Linked DNA regions of Sus scrofa. The protein of the gene in region 4 purifies or fractionates together with the protein of the main gene of each other region. This does not show direct contact. Links are inferred from orthologs where the notes say so. Each region holds a gene or a part of one and is shown on either strand. Other genes may lie near its edges.

Region 1 (5,963 bases), on a different chromosome or scaffold from region 4:
TGGAGTTAAATTCTGAGGACAACCAGTCCCAGTTTGAAGATAAGCCCACCATGATAGGTGGGAAGGCATCTGGGGATGAGAAGGAGAGGAGGAGGGAGGAGAGAGGAATTTACATGTGCAGGGGATGAGAGAACCAGAGGCAGGCATTTGGACTGAGCACCAGATGTGCTTCACATTTGAATAAAATGCTTCCACACGAATCACGCCATTTCCTACTGCCAGCAGCCCCCTGAGATGAGTGTTTCATTGTCACCACTTCCCAGGATTCCAGGGTAGAAAACAGATGTAGAGGCTTTGCCCAAGGTAACTGTCTAGTTAAATGATCCAGCAATTCCAGTGAGGTCTTCCACCTGGAAGTCTGGTTCCTTTTTGACCTTATCCTGTCTTTATAGGAGAAAGGACAAGATTTTCACATTTTCCCCTATATTCAAATATTTCCATCTGTGGCTTTATTGTGTGTCAGGAATGTTTCACTCGCCTTTTATTTTTATTTTTTATTTTTTTTAACTTGAAGGTAGGTTGCATTGCAGGTAGAGACTGGTTTTGGAAGAAGAAGACACCCAAAGATAGCCTAACTTCAGCATGACCATTATTATGTAGACCTTAGAGCTGTTTCTTCCTGGGTACCCAGTGTCTTTTTCCACCTTATGTTTCCTCTATTGCAACAGGGAGGAAGGTCACTCCCACGTCTTAGAAGAGGAACAGGAGGCATGATGAAGTCCCTGGGTTCAGATCCCTGGGGCTGCAGGGCAAGGACGTGATCCAGCATTTTGCCCTTCTGACCCTCTGGCACATGCCCCACTTTCAGCACCTTCCAGAAGGACTCAGGAAATGTGCCTGCAGCAAGAACAGCTGCCACTGTAGCTGCAGGTTGGCATCTGTGGCATATGGACCCCATTTGGAGTGATGGAGATTTTTAGGGAAAAAATAGTTGTGGCACCTTAACACACACTCCACGATGCATGACAGCAACGGGATGATAGACAGTCTTCCCTTTTTACATTATTCAGTCTCCACCGGCTCACCACAGATGTGCCTCCTCGATTTTTCTTTGTCCTCAAATCACCCATTCAAGTTCAGATGCTATGAAGAAAGCATCATGTTACTAATGAAACATTTATAGCAAGAAAGGCCCCTACTTGTGCATTTTCAAAACCTGACCAGGCATAACCATAGGGAATTCATAATTCCAAGTTTAACTTATTTGGTTCTACAAGTTTTTTCTAATTGTTAAACCTATATTAAATTTTACCTATAATGTTATATTAAAGTGTATTATATGTTATATTTTATACCTGTGTTCAGTTGGTTTTAAATGTTTGAGTGATTTCTGATTGGATTTTTTAATCAAAGAAATGAAGCAACTCACTATTGTTTAGTAGATTTAATTAAATTGTGAAGGATTGCCATGTTTTGGAAAAAGTGTATTAACAGTCTTCACTTTGGATATCATTAGGTCATAAAATTACACTACAATTATATTTATACAGGACAGCGTGGCTTGGCTGGCGCTGAGAAACACCCAGACATGCCGTTGTGTGGCATGGAGTGACATCTTGTGCTAGAAGCTGAATACATAAGCTCCTTGGCTGTCATGGGATGATTTGAAACACATAAACAGGTATCTGGCCACATCTCCTGATGTCATTCTGCATGTGGGAAAGATCTTCCTGTCCACAACTAGGGCTCCATTAATCTGCATGCCTGGTGAGCATAGGGTGGGAAAGCCAGCTTGCAGGAAAGTCCCCAAGAGAACAACAACAAAAAAATCACTATAAGCAAAGAAGAGGTCTGACTCAAATACAGTGTGGGGCAGAATCCCTGGTTTACCCTCACTTCTGTCCCTAACCAGGTACAGGTGCTTCCTGGGAAGGAGAAAGCTGTGTGGTAAAACTGGCCATTGTTTCCCCAAGAGCCCAAGCCACGCTGCTGGGAGACTTCCCTCCAGGAGTTCTGGGTGCCTGAGTGGAGGCGTCTCCCCACCTGCTAGAGTGGTGAGGTGCCAGAGCCCCAGAGCACTCTGAAAGCAGCTGCTTCTCACTTTTCCAGTGGGGCAGTCCCACCACGTGGCTTCAGGAGGGAACCGGCTCTGGAGACACAGGCGGGGGCTGGGGTGCTGTCCTGAGATACTAACTGCTCACCTTGGGTCAGGTGTGGAGACCTAACAGAAAGAGCCGAGTTCTGGCCACTGGGCAGTAAGGGTTATTGTTCCAGAAGCCTCTGATGCTGCTGTTGGAATGACCCAGCACCCATTCACTGGTGGGTTATCAGTTGAGAAGCACATCCAGGATCTTCTCAATCCTAAGGCAGTCTCTATTGGCCCCACAAACTGATCCGGTACCCACACTTAGAGCGAGTCAATATCTGGGACCATGGCGCGGGCACTGTTGGAGGACTGGTGTAGAATCATGAGTGCAGATGATCAGAAATCACTGATGGTTATGGGGATACCGGTGGACTGTGATGAGGCTGAGATTCAGGAGGTCCTCCAGGAGACTTTAAAGTCGCTGGGCAGGTACAGACTGCTCGGCAAAATATTCCGGAAGCAGGAGAACGCCAACGCTGTGCTGTTAGAGTTTCTGGAGGATACCGATGTCTCCATGATCCCCAATGAGATTCAAGGAAAAGGGGGTATTTGGAAAGTGATCTTTAAGACCCCTAACCAGGACACTGAATTTCTTGAGAGACTGAACCTCTTTCTAGAAAAAGAGGGCCAGACGGTCTCAGGAATGTTCCGAGCGTTGGGGCATGAGGGATTGTCTCCAGCGGCAGTGCCCTGTGTCTCACCGGAATTATTGGCCCATTTGTTGGGACAGGCAATAGCGCACGCCCCCCAGCCTCTGCTCCCGATGAGGTACCGGAAACTGAGAGTGTTTTCCGGGAGCGCGGTGCCAGCCCCAGAGGAAGAGCCCTTTGAAATCTGGTTGGAACAGGCCACCGAGATAGTCAAAGAGTGGCCGGTTGCAGAGGCAGAAAAGAAAAGGTGGTTGATGGAAAGCCTCCGTGGCCCTGCCCTGGACCTCATGCACATCGTACAGGCAGACAACCCGTCCATAAGTGTGGAGGAGTGTCTGGAGGCTTTTAAGCAAGTGTTTGGAAGCCTGGAGAGCCGCAGGACCTCCCAGGTGAAATACCTGAAGACCTATCAGGAGGAAGGAGAGAAAGTCTCGGCCTACGTGTTACGGTTAGAAACTCTGCTGCGGAGAGCGGTGGAGAAGCGGGCCATCCCGAGGAATATCGCCGATCAGGTCCGCTTGGAGCAAGTCATGGCCGGGGCGAGCCTCAGCGAAATCCTCTGGTGTAGGCTGAGGGAGCTGAAAGATCAGGGGCCGCCTCCCAGCTTCCTGGAGTTGATGAAGGTGATCCGCGAGGAAGAAGAGGAAGAGGCCGCCTTCGAAAACGAGAATATTGAAGAGCCGGATGAAGGGGATGGCTATGGCCACTGGGATCTTGAGGCGGATGAGTAAAGCCCATCCCAGAGGGGGACCCACAGCCGGCAGGGTAGGGCCTCTGCCTTACCAGGCTAAGACCTTTTCAGATATTTTTTCTCCTTTAATGTATGCATTTGAAATGACAGCATTTGAGCCAGATCTTGATTCTTCCTTCCTTCCTTCCTTGATTCTTCTTTCTAAGAAAACATATCTGAGTGTTTCTTGGCCCCTACATAGATTTTAACAGACTGGCATTTACCAACAGGCTCTTCTTTGTTTTCAGGTTGACTTATTTTGTGCAGATGTTGGAAGAAAAGTTCTCTTGCAATATCTGAGCACATATCCAAACTTACTTTAACTTTCCATAGATTAAGGAAGCCATAGCACCTCATGGGTATTTAAATCAGACCTGTGCTTGTTCTATGATGTGAAGTGTGTTTCAGGTATAAACGAGCATCATTCAGTTAAATGCTAGGCAAGGTTCCAACACAACTGATATATAGCATCATAGCAGCTTTGTATATACAATAAACAAGTGGCTTAACTTTTCTAAACATCTGTTTCTGCATCAGAAAGAAATGGGAAGATAATAGAATAGGGTTATTGGTAGGATCAAATGGCATCATGCCTTTTAAGCACTTAGCATGAAGTCTGGAACATAGAAAGCCCTCAATGCATTGAGACTCTTTTTATTTATTTTCACAGTGCTTGTTGTCTGGTAAGTGCATGCTCTCTTTCTTGTTCTAACAGTCCTGCACTAACAAGTAAATATATAATCTGTCAGTCAATTTGTGACAACTTTGCATTAGAAACCATTTTAGCACTTGTGGTAAGTTCGAACGTTTGTTGTCTATTACGTTTCTGATAAAATTGCCAGCAATTGTTGACTATTACTAGTGATGATAACAAATAAATTCTTTCTGATCATGGATAATTTTAACTGAAGAACATCCTGGGGATGTTAGAAAAGCATTTTTTTAAGAAAGAAGATACCCTATGTGATCATTTATCTTTCTAAGTTATATTTTTCAATACTGTTCAATCAAGATGCTAAAACTCATCCAATACACCCTGATTTTATGCATTTTTTTTGTATTCATGAACATGGCCTCATTGTTCTCATGAATTGACACTATACAAAGTAAAATGTTATAAATGTGAAGTTGTAAAATAAATACCTGCTGATAATATTCTGAGTTTTTTCTGCTTCATGTATTGTGGTTCTGTACAAACCATCGCCTAAATAGGGCATTTCATTACTAAAAAAATTTTTTGAGAGGTAAGATTAGAAAATCAAGCTAAAGCCCAAAGGTCTTAAACTCTTTGAGAGAGAAAAAAACCTGAGAGCAAAATGCTGGAATCAGGAGTACTTGGGCTTTGTCTCCAAGGATGAGTGAGAGCTCAGCCCATCCTTCATTGATTTCTCCTTTAAAATATAAGAAATGACAGATGGAGGCCAGTTTCCTCAGAGACCTCCCACTCCTTTGCCTAGACAAGTAACTGTACAGAGGCATTCACCAGCCTCTATTCTGCCAAGAGTCAAATGACCTAAAGGTGAAATACTACATTTCTTGGTTGGAGTCATTTTTCACTATATGGATGTATAGAGGGGAAAAAACTTCTCCTGCCTTTGGCCCTCTTGAAATAGCTTCTCTTCCTCTTTCCTAGGGTGCTATGGGGGAACATTCCTCAAGAGCTGTCCATAGTAGACTGACCCACTCCAAGGGTCTGGATCACTTGAGCAAAACCTGCTGGGAGATTGGTCTCACTTTGTACTAAATGTGTTTCCAGTCCTGACCCTTGGAGACTGAGGCTTCCAGGATCACATAGTCCACTGCTGAAGTTACCTCTGCACCAGGGTCCACCTGCCTCTTCAGGTCTTAAGTATCCCCTACCTCTCCACCTATACCAGCTAGTCCTGGCAAGCCTCTCATGCTGTTGTCCATCCTAAACACAAGACTGTCTGCATTTACTCTCATGTCCTCACTACACTGTGCTTCCTCCCCAATCCTCATCCCTAAGGCCCTCCTATGTGCCTACTGGCTGGTCTGAGAGGTCCTAAACAAACTAGCCTATGTCATCGGAGTCCTCGCAGAATTCTCTCTCACCACGTTCCTTGAACTCTGGTCCTCCTGGTCGTCTCTTGCCATCAAATTCTTTGAGTGGAAGCTGCTCAGTCTCCCCGACCTCAGGAGTGATTGGAGAGTGGTAATGTCACTTCTTTCATTCGCCATCGTCACTTCCCCCCTTGCAAACACATTTGCTCCCTCCTGGCACGTGCTCACCCACTCTGCTCCACCACCCGCTATGGACCAGTCCTAACAAACCTGGACAGAGCACTAGCAATGAGCCAGTGTGGCAGGGAAAGGGGGGGCATTTACAACTGAATCTGGGAGTTCCCATCATGGCACAGCGGAAACGAATCCTACTAGGAACCATGAGGTTGTGGATTTGATCCTTGGCCTTGCCCAGTAGGTTAAGGATCCAGCGTTGCCGTGAGCTGTGGTATAGGTCACAGATGAGGCTTGGATC
Region 2 (6,534 bases), on a different chromosome or scaffold from region 4:
TCTTTGTGTTTCAGTCTGGCCACTTTAATTTGGTCTGTTTTCAGGTTCACTGCTCATTTCTGTTTATTATTAAATCCATCTGAAGAAATCTTTAATTACTGATACTGTTTTTCATTTCTAACATTTCCTTGTGATCTTTTTTTATAGTTTCAATGTATGTGATGAAATTCTCCATTTCATTATTCATGTTGTCCGTCTGTTCCATCGGTTTTCATCATAGTTATTTTGAAGTCTGTGTCTTGGAGTTCCTGTCGTGGCGCAGTGGAAACGAACCCGACTAGGAACCATGAGGTTGCAGGTTTGATCCCTGGCCTCACTCAGTGGATTAAGGATCGGGCATTGCCATGAGCTGTGGTGTAGGTTGCAGATGCAGCTGGGATCTGATGTTGCTGTGGCTGTGGTGTAGGCTGGCATCTACAGCTCTGATTTGACCCCTGGCCTGGGAACTTCCATGTGCCATGGGTGAGGCCCTTAGACCAAAAAAAAAGAAAAAAGTCTGTCTGATAATCCCAAAATATAGACCCTCTTTGATGTGATTATATTAGTACTTCATCTTTGACTGTGGTTTGCTACTCTCTCTGTCTTGTAATTTTTGACTGGATGCTGAACATTTTTGTAAAACCAGAAAATGGACCATCATTTCTCCTGGGGCTGTGTCAGTAAGATGTGTGTGTAGTTAAGCTGGTTCTAGGCTTCTTTGCAACTTCAGTTGGATTAATTCAAGTGTTTTGAGAGTGGGATTAAGATTCCTTCTTCAAGCTTTGTTGTTTTAGTGTGATTTCAGTTACTTCCTTATGCTTTATCTCTGAGCCATCAGCTCTTTGAACTGTGGGTGGTTTCTCAGCTTTACAGCCCAGCTGCTGGTCCCTTGGCATTCTGGAGCCTCCTCCTCCCCCATCCTCCTGCTCTTTTCTTTCTTTTTTGCCACACCCACGGCATAAAAAAGGTCCTGGGTTTGAGATGAACCCAAGCCACAGCAGTGACAACACTGGGTCCTTAACCCACTGAGCCACCAGGGAACTCTACTCTGGAGTTCCTTTTGCTCTCTAGTCCTGCCCCGGGATTTTGTGCCTATGAGATAGATACCTTCCAGAGTTTCTCTCAGCAGTCCTTTCCTACCCCAGCCTTGGTAGTCAATTTCCAGAGTGTCTGCTCTAAGGTTTTGTCTCAGCTCTTCTGCACCACCTCAGCCCTTGGCAGCTGCATGTCTATAGTCTCTTGGATTGATTTCTTTTACCTCCCCTCACTCCCTTCCCTGGTCAGAGGACAGATTCCTTGCGTTTGAGGAAGACCCCAAGCTTCTTAGGGTATCTCCCATCTTTTCAGCCCTGTCCATCAACCTTTGGAATATTTTGGCCAGCACTTGGTGAGGGCCTGTGGGGTTGAGTAGTTGAGGTCATAGCCTTGCTCTGGGGAACCCTTTGAATTCTAATATATCATGTCAGCCTACATGTTGCTATTAAATGTCTTAAAAGTTTAGGCTGATTTCTCCTTACCCTCATCATGGTGGGATCATTCCTTCTTGGTTGCTCCACTAGGAAAGAGACCATCTGTGGGCCCCTCTCCTATCAAAATTCAACACTTTCTGGAATTTAGTTACATTTAGCTTATTACTTTGCATCTTTAACTTTTAGACGGGTTCAGAAAAACCATGATTTTATAGTTTATCTGTCTTGTTTTGTTTGTTAGGGTGAAAGTGATGGTCTCTTGTGATTTGCTACATCCTGTTTAGAAGTGGAACTCCTTCATGGAATACTTTCTGATATATAGTCTGGCAAATACCTGATAAAATTTATCTGACCTCACTCAGTTTGATTTTCTACAGTATTTCTCAGAGCTGCATTTCTAAATCTTTTCCATTCTTCTCAAATCTAAACTCTCTAGTTCTGCCCTCAGTGGTAAATGTTCTTATCTCTTACTTTGAGATTAAAGCTGTTGACATTAAATTTTAATTGAGGGACTTGGTAGAGAGAGTAGGAAGAATTTATGGTAGGTGCTTAGAAAACTAGGCAGATGAAAAACTGACATAATTAGCTCTGGAGAAAAAGAAAGAGATGTACAAAAAAGGAAACAGGATTATATAGTAGTTTACTACTAATCTCTTCAGGTATAAAACTACAGTTGGAAGATAATTATTTTCAGGGCTGGAGGAAAAGCAAGTGATTGTGGTGTAAATCTTCATTTTCAATAGGTATATTTAACTTGATACTTCAAGGGGGACCATTGCTTAGGTATAAATAGCAAGAGTAAAGGTTCAAAGATTTTAAAGAGTTGTACCTTGGTGTGGGGAGAAGAGCTTTATTTGACTTTATCCACTATGTGGGTTGTTACTTAGATAGAGAAAAAAATATTTTTAAAATGAAGCTTAATTAAAAGTCTTCTCAAAGTGAACCACATCTCTTCCTCACAGTCTCTCGTTACCTTTACTTCTGGTTGTTTACTTCACACTTGATGCCTTTCTCCTTTCCCCTTGTTATGACCTTAGACTTTACTTTATGATAGTTATGAAAGTTTAAAACTTCGGGGAGATTGGCCCTGTAAATTAAAAAAATGTATTTTTGTTAAGTGTCTTGAGAATAGACTGAAATTCTAAAAACATAAGGAAAACTTTGTTTTAGTGAAAATATTTTATTGCTACTATTAAAAGGTAAAAATATAGTAGTATGGGTAGTGATTAATGGTCCAGTGTTGATAAAGATAAAAAAATTTTCTGTCTTGCAAAATTGTTCTCTTGGCCCACTTATCATTGTCTTGTTTTTAGAAGGATTTGTTTCCACAGTTCATTTAAATTCGTGAAGACTTGTCATGGGTGAAAAAGATAACTTCTGAAAGTCTGTTCTGAAAGTAATAATTTGAATTTCTTATCTCATTTTGTAATTTGCTTTTGCTCCTGTGTTGAAAGCAGTAGTTGATGGTAAAGTTAGCCTCTCAACTGTCCTTTCCATATCTTTTCTAGGTTAGATTAAGGAGGATATTTTCTTAGTGTGGACCGCTGCCTTTGGTAAGAACATGTCGTCCATCTTGCCATTCACTCCGCCAGTTGTGAAGAGACTGCTGGGATGGAAGAAGTCAGCTGGTGGATCTGGAGGAGCAGGTGGAGGAGAGCAGAATGGACAGGAAGAGAAGTGGTGTGAGAAAGCAGTTAAAAGTTTGGTGAAGAAGCTAAAGAAAACAGGACGATTAGATGAGCTTGAGAAAGCCATCACCACTCAAAATTGTAATACTAAATGTGTTACCATACCAAGGTAAGTGTGGTTAGGTCAGAAACTTGATGGCCATCCTGTTGAAAATTGCTTAAAGGAATCTGCAGGAAAGTTACTGAAATTTTGTTACATGCAATTCACCTGTCAATAGTGATTATTAAAATATGAAATCTATTTCTAACCTGTCATATTAATTTTGTTGGACACGATAAGACTTGTTTATTTTATAAATCCTTTTCTTGAACAGCGAGAAAGTTTAATCAAGCAAAATAAAATACTTAGATTTTACTAAGGTTTATCTTCACTGTCTTCATTTGCCTTCATTGCCTAAATGCTTCATTGTATGTTATCCTAATTTTTGTGATTGAGTGACATTTGAATAAAGATTCAAAGATTTTTGTATCACTAGTGCAGTAGTGACTGACAGTTTCCTGCTCCTCTGGTCAAAACTTCAGTAAGGAGTTAACAGAGGCTGCTAACATTGTGACGAGTTATGGCTTTTGTTTGAGTTGCAGCATTATTTCTAAGAAAGAACAGTATATGAGGCAGCTTCTTAGGTGCCATAGTCAGATCCTGTCTTGAAGACCTGCCTCGTATAAGAGAAGGACCTGTTACCTAAGAGGTTGAAGTTTTATTAGTATAAATTTAATCATTTACAGATCATTACCACTGTCAGAAATTCTGGTTTTTCAAATAGCATAACGAGTAGTTTTTAAGTGTTGTAGTGTACACTACTGTAGTTGTGCACATTGCAGGGTTATGGGGAGTGTGAGTTTATAGCATTTTCTAAAATGATTGTTTGCAGTGCCATACACATAGGCTAGCATATGGCACATGAAACCATTCTACTTGACATGTTTCTAATGAGTTTTGGGAAATAACTCTGGATGCTTGTGATAATAGCTCCCAGTGACACCAGCCTTTCTTTCTTGCAGATACTAACTAGAATGTTTCCTGCCTTGTTTTGTTTGGTAATAAAACAAAATTACCGATTACTTTCCATTTCTTTTACCTTGTTTCATGTATTTCTTTTTTTTTTTTAACTTTTATTTTTATTTTTTTGCTTTTTAGGGCCACACCCATGGCATATAGAGGTTCCCAGGCTAGGGATCGAATTGAAGCTGTAGCCACTGGCCTGTGTCACAGCCACAGCAACGCCGGATCTGAGCCGCATCTGCAACCTACACCACAGCTCACAGCAATGCTGGATCCTTAACCCACTGAGCGAGGTCAGGGATCAAAACTATATCCTCATGGATGCTAGTCAGATTCGTTTCCACTGAGCCACAATGGGAACTCCTTGTTTCAGGTATTTCTTAAGTAAGGGTCACTTTTCTTGGTTTATTCTTTTGTTTTAGAAATGCTTATGGATGCCTTCCGTGTGAAAGGCACTGGTTTTAGGCATATGGGACACAGCATGGATGAAATGCGGAGTTCCTGCCCTCCTGAGGGACAGATACACACTGTAAACAAGTGGACAAATTAATGTAATTTGAGATGGTAATGAGGACAAAAGACAGTGACTGAAGGATTAAAAAGCTGCTTTGGATTGGATTGTGACACTTAAGCTAAACTTGGAGAAGTAGCAGGTAGCTGAAGGAAGTCTTCTAGGCAGAGGAAGGGGCAAGCATACAGACGCCAGGGTGGGACATAGCTTGTCGTATTGGAGACTTAATGGATCGAAGTAGAGATGCAGTAACACCAAATGAGCACAAGGCTTGGGAGGAGTCAGATTAGATGGGGCATCAGGAGGCGGTTTGGATTTTAGTCCCAGTACAATAGGAAGCAAATGAAGATTTTTAAAGTGGATTTTTAAATTTAAGTAAATTTTAGAAGAAATTTTTATCTTTATATCTTAGATCACTCTGGCTGCTGGAGACAAGAGGGTGTGGATAGTGGAGTGTGTGGGCATGTGTGTTATAGACTGGTGTGGTATAGTGGTGTGGACGCAGAGGAATGAGGCGACTGTTAAAGTAATCCAGAATGGAGATGCCAGAGGCTAGGCTGGGCTGGCGAGGTGGTGGTAACTCGGGAAGTGGATGAATCTGGTTGGAAGCTGAACTGACAGGATTTGCTAATGAATTGGCTAGGAATAAGTCAGGCCATATTTGTTGATTTTTCATTGTATAGTGTCTGATGTTTCAGTTCAGTAAACATTTAGAAACATAAAAGTCTTTGCTCTTGAGTTGCTTACTTTCTAGAAAGGAAGATAAACTTTAAAAAAGAAGAAAGATAATTTCATAACATCCAGGGGTTGTTCTGAAAGATGTATGCTTAGGGACCTATGTCCAAAGAGGGGGAGCCTTCCCTACTCCATGCTGTGTGGAAAGTTTCCTGCTGGAGAAAGATTGATGCCTGGGTTGAGTGGATGTCAAGGAGGACTTTTCAGGAGAAGCTGAATCCCTCCAGAGAGGCTCTGTGGTATTGAGGGTGGCAGTTGGCCAGAACTGGTGAAGGGTGTCCTGGGAGTTGGAGGTGGCATATGGCAGGAGCGAGAGGCTGTGTGGGTGTGAGGAGCCCCCACATCCTGCACTTAGGGGTTCACCCTGAACCCCAGCGTGGTTGGGTGAGAGTGGAGTCCTCGGTGTTAGGTAAAGAAGACTCCTGAGTTGGGTTAGTTTACATACAGCATCTGACTGCAGTGAGGAAATGGTTGTGAGCCTGTCAAGAGTAGAGGCAGGGAGACTGGTTAGTATGTGGTCTCCCTCCTCAAAGGGTGTCATGTGATTCCTGGGGGACATGGAGCCGTGTTTTTGCACAGCTTCATCTAAGACTCCAGCTGCCAGTGCAGTGAGGTCATTGAAGGAACAGGGCTGAGGGTATAACCATGCAGTCCTGTCTTTTAAGAAGATGCAGTAGGCAGCCACCTCATGACGTGGATATTTGTGGATGTGGATATTTAAACTGTGGAAGTCACCTTAGTCAAAATTCTTTTCCTTATTTTTCCATTATTCATTTTACAGTCTATTTTTTAGAGGTTTTTTTTTAAATATTCTAATGCTTTTTCATCATTTAAAATTTATTTTCCTACACTTTTTCATTCTTTAAAGATTTTTTTTCCTGCACTTTTACCTGAGTAATGAAAGTGAATTGGTTATCAACCATTATCTTCTTCATTCTTCAAAGTTCCTTGAAGCTTAGAAACTTGTTTGTCTCATGTGGTGGTCTTTTTTATATTGCAAGAAATAAAGATTTGTTCATTTAGGTTGTTGTCTCTAAAAAAATTTAAGTTTCTTACACTGTAGTTTGGAGCCATATATATATGTTTGCTTTTAATAGTAGAACAGTTATATCAGATTATTAGTCATTCCTTAACTATTAAATGTCCTTA
Region 3 (5,321 bases), on a different chromosome or scaffold from region 4:
TTGACAGCAGGTTGTACGTTTACTATATGTGATTTAGTACCTTTTTCTCAAAACATTTAGAGTATAGAAACTATAATCACCCAAATTAAACTCCACTCATCACTCAGTAAACTATTATTTCATCTTTTCTTCCTTTTAAAGGTGCTCTAGCACTTCTGATAGGCCGTTCCTTTAACGCAGCTTTTTAAAGTGAATATTTTTATATGTTTCTGAAAAAGAATAATGAAGTCTGAGGGAAAAATCTGTTTGCTTGATGAATTGTGGTACACAAAAACTAACAATGAAACAAACTTTAAGCTAGCAACCAACACACAAAATGAGCATGCAAAGGATAGAGAATAATTATATGGATAAGGTATTTTAAGCAGAGGACACTTGTAAAGAATTTCAAAGTCTCTCTATTTTCAAGCTATGTGGTACAGTTTAACTTAAAATTACTTTTAACTAGAATAGGCATAATATTTACAATTGACTTAAAAAACTATTTTCAAAGAAGTTAGACAGAAACCTATGGCACACCAATGTATCTTCAGGAAAATGAAGACTATATAATATCATGTGGCAAGTTTCCCTTATGTGAAGGACTAGAAAAAATAGTTCTTTACTCAATTAGAGTTTATGATGACTTAAAGGTGATTAAGCATTGCTCAAATTTTTTAAATATTTCAAAGATTAAGCAATTTATTTTAGAATCTTTGAGTTGAAACTTAAGTAAGCTTATCATTTAAACTAAGTAACATAGTAGATTTTGAGTAAATTTGAAAAATAAATGAAACTATAAGGGCTTGAGTTTTATCTTCCAAAAAGCTTAGCTATGACACAACTAATTCACAACTAAAATGAAACTGTATCATAAAATGTCTTTGTGATTTTTCTTTCTCCAGATCGAGATAAATAAAAGGTATTAGGAGGGTATATCGTTTTTAATTTTTGTTTCTGTATGTCATTTTAACATGTCTTCCTCCTTGAGGAGATTCCAAGAATCAACAAATTAAATTTCAGGGTAAATACAGTAAAATTTAAATGGAAAATAGAAAATACACATTTAGACCATACTCTAGTAAAGAAACTATACTTTGGGAAGTACAAAAATTCTTTTAGGATATGTAAGTACCATTAAGCAAAATATGAAAATAACTGGTTAAATGATAACCTACTTATTTTTGAAGTTCTATACTAAGTATCTATCATCTATGATGGGAATAGTAAATAACCTTAATCCTAACTAATTTATTTAAAAATAAATTTAGCTCTCAAGTAATTTTATATAGTACCTTACACAAGAACAAAACATAAAATTCATGGGATAATAATGTCAATTAATGGTAGCTTCAGGAAACTTTCTTTAAAAAATGCCATTCTAAGAATTTTACCTAGAATCTTTTAAGCCAAGAATTAACTAATATGAAATTTGCCCTTAAAGAATGACAGGCTTTTCTGTGCAAATTAAAAAAAAGAAAAGTGCAGAAGTAGTTGCCCCTCCCCCGCCAAACTATGGAATTCCTGTCTTCTAAAAATTATCTAAAAACCTTTTAGTAGCAGATAACTAAACTTCCCTATATTAACCTGTCATATACTACCAGCTGACTGTAAATTTCTGATTTTGATATTAAATAGTAACTGAAAATGGTCCATTCGTGCAAATTTTGGTTAAGACAACATTTAAACATACAAAAGTCCAAAATAACCTTCAAAGTGTTTAATATTTTACAATGAAAGGAAAACAAATCTGTCATATAAATTTCAGTAAGACCCACAGCTACATATAAAAACTGTACAGGAAGATTATGGATTGTATAGAAACTGATGTATATCAATGGTATCAGTTTTTATCAAGTACATTAATATTTTCATACCACTATTAACAACATAAACAAAGTCCAAAAGTATTACATTTTATTCCCTCTTCTGAATTTGCTGAATAAAAGTTTTTTCTAAATATAACCACATTTAAACAGAAAGTCTAATTTTAACTGCTTCTTGTATTTAGCAGCAGTATGTAAGAAAGCATGTTATCCTTTCCCACAGGGTGTGCTATAAACTCATCAGTGAAATTCCCCTACTGACAAGATGTCTCTTAAGAGACACTCAATAGCAGAGAACTAGTGGAAATTCATTCCACAATATGAACAAAATAAAAGCAAATTTTGATTATAATAATGAGTATACTATAACAACTTAGAAAGGAGATTATGTTAATGAAAAAATGGAGATTCTACTCCTTGAGTAGCTCTATATATGAAATATGAAGCCACCTTTGTATCTAAAATTGAGTCTGAAATATGGATAACAAAGTTGACCACAATTATTGTACATCACACGATGCAGCTTTTAAAAAGTATGCAACTGCTAAATTTGCATTAGAAATATAGTCAGATAATCTGACAGTTGAAACCGTAGAGTATTGTTACTAAGCTGGTTGAAAAAAAGTATAAAGAAACACATTTTCAATCATTTGGAAAATGTAAAAATTTATGTACTAATATATAATCTCTTTACTTTCTCTGCTCTACAAATGGATAGTTATTTTCATGCAGATAAACTGTTCAGAATTCAATTAGCAAAGCAAACAAATAAACAAAAATAAACCCTGTTGGGAACACACAGATGAATCTCTTTAAAGATTTCTATTCTTTAGCAGTCTTTGATGATTTCAAAATTTGCAGCTTTAGCTCTTTTATCATCATCTCTAACTTCTGTCTTGCCTCCCGTTCCTGTCTAAGTTCATCTTGGAGCTCTTGCCTGTCAGCCTCAGCGTGGTCCAACCTCTGTCTCAGTTCTGCCAGCTGTGTGATTTAAAAGACTGTGTCAGTTCTCATTCGGTTGTTTTTTTTTTTTTTCCATTTATTCCTCATATCATGACAAAACCTACTTTCAAATTACTTTTTACAAAATGAACTATTTCATGCATGCTACAAACACATGAATATCTAATATTTTAATCTGACTTTGACATTACCTTAAAATGAGGGAAAAACAGAGTCAAGAGAACTGAACACCTAGAGCACTTTCATTATGCCCTACACTTGAGTACACCTCTCATCGCAGCCTACTCAGTCTAAGAGTTGTTTGTTCATCTTCTCCAAGTTGACAGCTACTACTCATTTTTGTTCCAGTGCTTATGAACACGGCGGACAACAGTTCATGTTCGTAAATTCATTGATTTGAAAGCCCATATACTACATTAAAATAACATTACATTTGATATTCAGACAGCTAGGGATTAGCAATTTGGACAACTAAACTACAGAAACCCAATAAAGTTTTATTTAAAGTAATAAAGCAATCAAGGTCAAAAACTCATCTTGAAAGGAATTCCTGTTGTGGCGAAGTGGAAATGAATCTGACTAGTATCCATGAGGACAAGAGTTCTATCTCTGGCCTTGCTCAGTGGGTTAGGATCCAGCATTGTAGTGAGCTGTGGTATAGGTTACAGAAACAGCTCACATCCCACATTGCTGTGGCTGTGGCATAGGCCAGCAGCTGTAGCTCCCGCTGGACCCCTAGCCTGAGAAATTCCATATGCCATAGGTGTGACCCTAAAAAGCCAAAAAAAAAGAAAAAAGAGACCTCCCAGAGATCCCTGGCCCCTTCCACAGATAAAAACATAGTGAGAAGACTTCATCTATAAACCAGAAAATGGGTTCTTCCCAAACATGAAACCTCCTGGTGCCCTGATCCTAGACTTCCAGTCTCCAGAACTGTGAGAAATAAATTTGTGTTAAAAAAATAAAAAATCTTGGATGATATGGCATAAAGTTATATTTAACAGAATTATCTATTTTGAAATCTAGCCTAATGAAATGAGCTTGACAAAAAGTAATTTCTTTAATGGAAAAAGTAACAGCTTCAATTTCCACATTGAAAGGGCAACACTACACAAACTGAGTAATTCTTACCTGTGCTGCATATTCAGCCTCTTTATCTTTTTCTAAATTTGAGTCACAGGTACATTTTTGCTTCATTACCTGCTCTAATTTTTTCTCTAAATCTTTCTGTTCAACGTAAAATTCTTCCATTCTTTGAGCATGTTCATTCTGCAAAGATTCAAGCTCTTTCTGTAAATTCTGCTGTTCTTCAGTGAGTTCCTTCATAGCTTTTGAACTACTCAACATTTCAACTTCCTGTAATTTAAAGAATCACAATACAATTTTTACTTTATTTCATCATGTTAAAGTTTTCAATTCAGGAAAAAAGAGGACAGAAAATATATAAAATTCAGTTATATCAGATTTCCCGTTGTGGCGCAGTGGCTAACGAATCCGACTAGGAAACATGAGGTGGTGGGTTCGGTCCCTGCCCTTGCTCAGTGGGTTAAGGATCCGGCATTGCCGTGAACTGTGGTGTAGGTCGCAGACACGGCTTGGATCCCACGTTGCTGTGGCTCTGGTGTAGGCCAGCGGCTACAGCTCTGATGCGACCCCTAGCCTGGGAACCTCCATATGCCACGGGAGCGGCCCCAGAAATGGCAAAAGACAAAAAAAAAAAAAAAAAAAAAAAAAAAAAAATCAGTTATATCAATTCTATATAAAAGTGATTATCCTGAAAAACTATTTTCTCTAAAAATTTAAAAGTATATTAATCTTTCTTATGAATGTAAAACAATAATCTTAAATGCATTTGCACCATCTCATCTTGACTTTTGCTAAAAATATGCAAAAGTATCTTTTCATAATGGACTATAATTTAGACAACAATTTTACCATCTGAAGTTGTTGCTTCTTCTGCAAAATTGAGTTCAGTTTTTCCTGTTGTTTTACATAAGTTCTCATTACTTCTTCCATGATTTTTCCCTTATCATCCTCACAAATGACATCTTTGACAAGAAGTGGAGATGAAGCTGCAGCATCACAGTCATTTCCAGCCTTGCTTGCATCTCTGGCTAAACAGCAAGTAGTAGACTCAGGTTTCTTTTTACTTGTAGAATTATTTGAGACTGATGGATCTTTGAGAAGCAAAAATGAAGTAACAAAGTATGAATATCACTCCATTAAAAAGACACTAGAACAATCCATAGATGAAATTAAGAAAATAATTTCATTTACAAATGAAATAAAAAATACTTAGGAATAAATCTAACAAAAGTAGTACAAAACTTGTACAATGAAAACTACAAAACATCATTGAAAGAAATAAAAGACCTAAATAAATGGAAAAGCATCCTATGTTCATGGATTGGAAGGCTTAATATTTTTAGGATGGTATAGTGATCTGAATTTCAGTGACCTCCAAGTTCACATGTTGAAATCCTAACCCCCAATGTGATGGTATTAGAAGGTGGCACCTTTGGGAAGTAATCAGGTCATAAGGATAGAGCTCCC
Region 4 (5,898 bases):
AACAAACCACATTAGTAAAACCCCTGGGCAGATTAACTTAGCACAGCTTCGACTTCAGCACATGCAACAACAAGTGTATGCACAGAAGCATCAGCAGTTGCAACAGATGAGGATGCAGCAACCACCTGCACCTGTACCAACAACAACAGCAACAACACAGCAGCACCCTAGACAAGCAGCCCCTCAGATGTTACAACAACAGGTAAGCATTATATCATATTATTGATATAAATTACCCTCTGTCCTATACAGATAAGTTACACATTTCAAAGTTACTAACAAAGACGGGGCTCAGAGGTCAGTTTAAATATTTGCTTTGGGTATGGCAGGGATGTGGGGGAAGGTGTGAGGAAGGACAAGAATTAAATACTTACAGTGGGAAACAAAATATAACTCACCAGTACTAGGGAGGCATAAACATTTTTATCCCTCCATACCAGATCTTTTTTGTTTTACACATGTGGTTTTTGGGCCAAAGAGCCGTGTTGTTTCAGCTTAAGATCTGGTTTCTCTACTCATTTGTTCAAATCACTCCCATCCCTGCATGTCTTCTACCCCCTCTCCCATCCAAATCAAATTATTAATCCAGGGTTAAGTTAATGCTGATAGGCTTTAAAACACACCCAACCATTGAGGAGTTCCCATTATGGCTCAGTGGTTAACGAATCCGACTAGGAGCCATGAGGTTGTGGGTTTGATTCCTGGCCTCGCTTAGTGGGTTGAGAATCCGGCATTGCCGTGAGCTGTGGTGTAGGTCACAGACACATCTTGGATCCCATGTTGCTGTGGCTGTGGCGTAGGCCGGCAGCTACAGCTCCGATTTGACCCCTAGCCTGGGAACCTCCACATGCCACGGGGGTGGTCCTAGAAAAGACAAAAAGACAAAAAAAAAAAAAAAAAACCCAAAAACAAAAAACACACATATACTGAGAGGAGGAGATTAGGGTTAGAGATGAGAATGTCTTTCACTTTTTACTTGATGCTCTTCTATCTTAAATTATTTTTACCATAATATTTTATAATTGAAAAGTAAATTTATGAATATTATTACATAAATGCAATTTCTACTTTTCGTAGCCTCCAAGATTGATCAGTGTGCAAGCAATGCAAAGAGGCAACATGAACTGTGGAGCTTTCCAGGCCCATCAGATGAGATTGGCTCAGAATGCTGCCCGAATACCAGGGTTACCCAGGCACAGTGGCCCTCAGTATTCCATGATGCAGCCACACCTCCAAAGACAAGTATGCCTAGAGTTACATTTGTAAGAATCATACAATTTTAAAACTAAAAGACAACAGTTTTCTGAATCAGTGGCGGTGGGGGGGGGTGGTCATTGATAACTTTAAGAATTTGATTAATGCTATGTATCTTCTTGACCCAGAAAAATACATGTAAAATTTGTATTAAATTTGAAGTTTCTTTGATGTCGTTAAACCCATTATATACTTTAGATTGAAAAATCCCTGATCTAATCCAACCAGTTCATTTTACAGTGAAAAACAAAGGAGCTTGTTATGTACCCACAGTCTTAAGAGATAATGGTAAAATCAAAATTAAAGCTTTAGTTTCCTAGAGTTTCTGTTGTGGCTCAGTGGTAACAAACCCAACTGATATCCATGAGGAATCGGGTTCAGTCCCTGGCCTCGCTTAGTGCGTTAAGGATCCGGCGTTGCCATGAGTTGCAGTGTAGGTTGCAGACATGGCTCAGATCCTACATTGCTGTGGCTGTGGCTGGCAGCAGCAGCTCTGATTTGACCTCTAGCCTGGGAACTTCCATATGCCATAGGTGTGGCCCTAAAAAGCAAAAAAACCAAAACGAAATAAAACAAAAAAACCTTTAGTTTCCTTTGAAATTGTTCCTTTGCTCTTTTAATGTGACATTTTGAACCTAATATATGAAAAGGACTTGGAAAAAAATAGAGCCATGCTGTCTATAATTTTTTTTCCACCTCTTTGCTCAGTATTCTTTCTTTTAGGATGGATATGCCTATTCTTAAAAATAAGTATGTTTTAGAGCCATGTTTTCTAATCTTTGCTTGAAATAGTAGATGATATTTTTATGGAGGTATGATTATAAAAATGAAGCTACTTTAGGCTTTCTAGTTATGAAGGAAATAAAGGTCATTTTATACTTTGTTAGAGTGATGTTTCTCAAAGCATGGTTTAAATACCGTTAGAGTGTCTATGACTTCTTGTCAGAAGCAGATTCTGAACTATATTCGTTGAATCATAATTTCCAGGAGGGGAATACTTAGAAATATGTTAACTTTTACTGACTCAGATCCTCAATATACGTACTAAAATTGGACAAATACTGTCCTAAGCATTAGTCTTTCAACTTTTGGCCCAGTTACCTCTGGGAAGTCTTGAAAAATACACACTCCCTCATATTTGAATGTTGACATTTAAAACTTCCATTACAAGTTTAAGTGTAAATAGTTGCAAAGGACATATTGTCTAGCATATTGTAAATATTAACATTATAAAATAAAACCTTTACATTTTTCTTGTAAATAGATCCGCTGGAGTCCCAAATACTGTAGTAAGTTCTTTTTTGAAAATCAAAATTTTATATTCCCGTTTCTCCTTGGCCTTGAATTTCTCTTTGCTTTTACAGAATTTTATCTTAATAAATATATTTGATAGATTTATGAATCAGTTTATTGCAATTTTCTGCTGGAAGGATTCTATTTCAATTTAAAAATTCTTAAATTTCTGGTTGATAATGCTATTATTAAGCTTTAAACTTTTTCTTTAGACCAAATTTTTTATTATAGTTATTCCTACACAGTTGTTTAAAGAAGAAAAATATGTTTACATGGTTTAAGAAAATTAGGAAACAAAAAATAAATTCCTTTAGGTATGTATTTCTTTATGAGATAGATGGAATCTTTTCTACTTCCTCTTTATTTATGCGTGTTTGTATGTCTGTTACCTTGTATTATTAGAGTAAAAGGCAGAATTCAACATCGATCTTTTTTTTTTTTTTTTTTTGCTTTTAGGGCCACTCTCGCAGCCTATGGAAGTTCCCAGGCCAGGGGTCAAATTGGAGCTACAGCTGCTGGCCTATGCCACAGTAATAGGGGATCCAAGCCATGTTCCACTCCACCACAACGGGAACTCCCAGCATTGGTCTTTATTACTAGTTTTTCTGTTTTCATGTGATGTGTGGGAAACTTTTTCACAAAAATTTGTGTCGGGGAATTCAAAACTATTTAAAAAACCTTTATCATCTGACAGCTACTTCAGGTCTTGCCTCATTTTTGTTTATCACCTACAATCAGAACCCACTCAAAGATTTGTTACCCAGGTTTTGGAGCCAGTAACTGTGCCAACAACTTGGCACTTCTATTTCCTTCTGTACCTTTGCCTGTCTCTCCAGAAGGGTTTTTGTTTTTGTTTTTTTCCTGGGACAGTATGCTCGATAAGATTAGGAATGGATTAAAGATGTATGGAGTTCCCGTCGTGGCGCAGTGGTTAACGAATCCGACTAGGAACCATGAGGTTGCGGGTTCGGTCCCTGCCCTTGCTCAGTGGGTTAACGATCCGGCGTTGCCGTGAGCTGTGGTGTAGGTTGCAGACGAGGCTCGGGTCCCACGTTGCTGTGGCTCTGGCGTAGGCCGGTGGCTACAGCTCTGATTCAACCCCTAGCCTGGGAACCTCCATATGCCGCGGGAGCGGCCCAAGAAATAGCAACAACAACAACAAAAAAAGACAAAAGACAAAAAAAAAAAAAAAAAAAAGATGTACTGTATTGTATTTTGGTTTTGGAGAAGGGCAGTTGTGAAAGAAGTAGTTGAAGAAAACAACTTAGAAACCATGGCACATTCTTAGGTATAGGTACATCAGGTTCTTTTTCAGAAAAAAGTACCTGTGAAGGTTGACTCTCTGGACTTTAATTTCCTTAAAAGTGTTCACATATACCTGTACCTCTTAGTACATGGAAAGCCTTCAGCTATCACCCGGGGCAGGTTCACCTTCAGAAGAGTGCAGAAGCTACAGAATCTGAGCAACCAACAATCTCAGCACATTGTCCTGAGACTTTGGGGCCCCTATAGAAATCACTGGATGTTAGAATTTTAAGTTTTTAAATATTTCATATGGTTTATATGTGTATAGTAATTTATTTCCCAACTATTTCCATCTATATATTAAATGATCCTTGTAAACACTCCCTTAAAGACCAGCATCCATTTTCATTCGTCATTATCCCTATTTCTAAATTGCCGAGATAGTGTTTTGGCCTAAAGAAACATGGCATTAGAGTCAGAAATAGATGCCATGTTTCCATTTGTAATTCATTGTTCTTTCTACTATATTAGTTACATAATACACAATTAATTGTTGCATTTTATAAAAGATAAAAAAGTCAAGGTGAAATATAGACAGAATAGTGGCTTTCCTGGGCTGATGTTTGAAAACTTTAGTGATATATAAATCATCTATTTATATATATATCTTTGTTCTGAAGTAAAATCATATCGCCAGGCTGACAAGGTACGATTATTGGCAAGCCTGTTTTTTCTAAATACTATACAAAAATGAATAGAAAAATGAAAAAGCTAGGTTTGATTTTCTTTCTTTTTTTTCCTGAGTAAGTTTGAGAAGGCCTACTTCTTTATCGCTCAGCCACAGAGAAACACTGAACTTCTGTATCCTTTCTAAGCTAAAGATTGTTGTCAAAGTAAAGGTCATGTTAGGATATCCTGGCAGATCAAGTAACGATCACATCTTCTTTTCTAACAGCACTCAAACCCGGGGCATGCTGGACCCTTTCCTGTTGTGTCGGTGCACAACAACCCAGTCAATCCAACCAGCCCTACTACAGCTACCATGGCAAATGCAAATCGAGGTCCCACCAGCCCGTCTGTTACAGCAATAGAACTAATTCCCTCAGTGACCAATCCAGAAAACCTTCCATCGCTTCCAGATATTCCACCCATACAGGTTTGTATTTGAGTCAAATGAGAGTTTAAAACCTGTTAATAGGGAGCTAGAGTATTTATTTCTGGTTGGGTGTGAGGGGTTTTTTTGTTTATTTTTAATTCAGGAGCAACTTTTTTGGGGGGGGGGAATTTCCAAAGAGAGTGTGAATATTTGAATTTTTAAAAGTTATGTGTGCTAAAACTAGCACTTCTCAATATTTTAAAGTTACAGGGTGTCAGCTTTGCCAATCTTCCAAACCTCGTGTTGAATGAAGCACTTCTGTTATAAATTTAACTCGGTGGGGGGGGGGGCACCCAGGGCCAAGATACAGTCAAATTTTTGTCAGTCTTCTGTTAAGTCCAAAAGGGGTAGTCAGCCTCTGGTGCAGACAGGTTGGACTGAGAAAAGGAGCGATTGGAAGGTCTAGTAGCAGGCGTGTTGAGGGGTTTACTGAGAGAGGAAGTGATAATGCGGAATAGATGATGGAACGTGAAGGGCCTTTGAGCTGTTTGTCCTGTTGCTTTCACCTGTAGCATTTTTCTGAAGAAAAATAGCATTCGATGCCTTCTGAAATTTTATAAATTCATTCGAATTCAAGGCATTTTATTTTTAAATATAAATACAAAATTTGAAGGTTATACTGAGTCATCTCATGCATTGTATGAGTTATTCAGAGTCAGAGGAGCAAGAAGTAGGGACTCTACTATAAAGACACTAGGACCCATAACTTACTTTATGGCTGCAGTTTAATATTTTTATGTGTTTAGTGGATTTTTAGAGTTAGTTTTAAAGGATGTTTCTCTAACTTCAGAATTACTGTGAAATCACTAACTTGTGAATTTTCTTAATCTGATTGCTTACCTGGTAATATGAGAGATCTTTTTGGGCTAAGTGGATAGTCGTACTAGAAGCACAGGACTATATATATAAAAGGGAAAATTTGGGGATATATCAACAAAATATGTGTAAGT

Evidence for each region.
Region 1: the proteins of TRIM33 (region 4) and PNMA2 purify together in Homo sapiens (affinity purification with mass spectrometry; 3 studies listed by BioGRID and IntAct, with this or other methods). This does not show direct contact. The link is inferred for Sus scrofa from reciprocal best matches to the Homo sapiens genes TRIM33 and PNMA2.
Region 2: the proteins of TRIM33 (region 4) and SMAD2 purify together in Homo sapiens (affinity purification with western blotting; 7 studies listed by BioGRID and IntAct, with this or other methods). This does not show direct contact. The link is inferred for Sus scrofa from reciprocal best matches to the Homo sapiens genes TRIM33 and SMAD2.
Region 3: the proteins of TRIM33 (region 4) and SKIL purify together in Homo sapiens (affinity purification with western blotting; 4 studies listed by BioGRID and IntAct, with this or other methods). This does not show direct contact. The link is inferred for Sus scrofa from reciprocal best matches to the Homo sapiens genes TRIM33 and SKIL.

Annotation. Positions count from the first base shown.
Region 1 is NC_010456.5:10,420,985-10,426,947, reverse strand, and holds the end of PNMA2 (paraneoplastic antigen Ma2), read left to right. Parts: intron 1-668; exon of another isoform or gene 669-870; intron 871-1,490; 5' UTR 1,491-1,621; exon of another isoform or gene 1,622-1,852; 5' UTR 1,853-2,372; coding exon 2,373-3,467; 3' UTR 3,468-4,623; downstream 4,624-5,963.
Region 2 is NC_010443.5:97,480,698-97,487,231, reverse strand, and holds the start of SMAD2 (mothers against decapentaplegic homolog 2), read left to right. Parts: upstream 1-3,008; 5' UTR 3,009-3,009; coding exon 3,010-3,245; intron 3,246-6,534. UniProt on the Homo sapiens protein: Receptor-regulated SMAD (R-SMAD) that is an intracellular signal transducer and transcriptional modulator activated by TGF-beta (transforming growth factor) and activin type 1 receptor kinases.
Region 3 is NC_010455.5:109,052,210-109,057,530, reverse strand, and holds part of SKIL (ski-like protein), read right to left. Parts: intron 4,946-5,321; coding exon 4,704-4,945; intron 4,125-4,703; coding exon 3,900-4,124; intron 2,787-3,899; coding exon 2,628-2,786; 3' UTR 1-2,627. UniProt on the Homo sapiens protein: May have regulatory role in cell division or differentiation in response to extracellular signals.
Region 4 is NC_010446.5:106,161,649-106,167,546, forward strand, and holds part of TRIM33 (E3 ubiquitin-protein ligase TRIM33), read left to right. Parts: coding exon 1-202; intron 203-1,077; coding exon 1,078-1,242; intron 1,243-4,747; coding exon 4,748-4,948; intron 4,949-5,898. UniProt on the Homo sapiens protein: Acts as an E3 ubiquitin-protein ligase. Promotes SMAD4 ubiquitination, nuclear exclusion and degradation via the ubiquitin proteasome pathway. According to PubMed:16751102, does not promote a decrease in the level of endogenous SMAD4.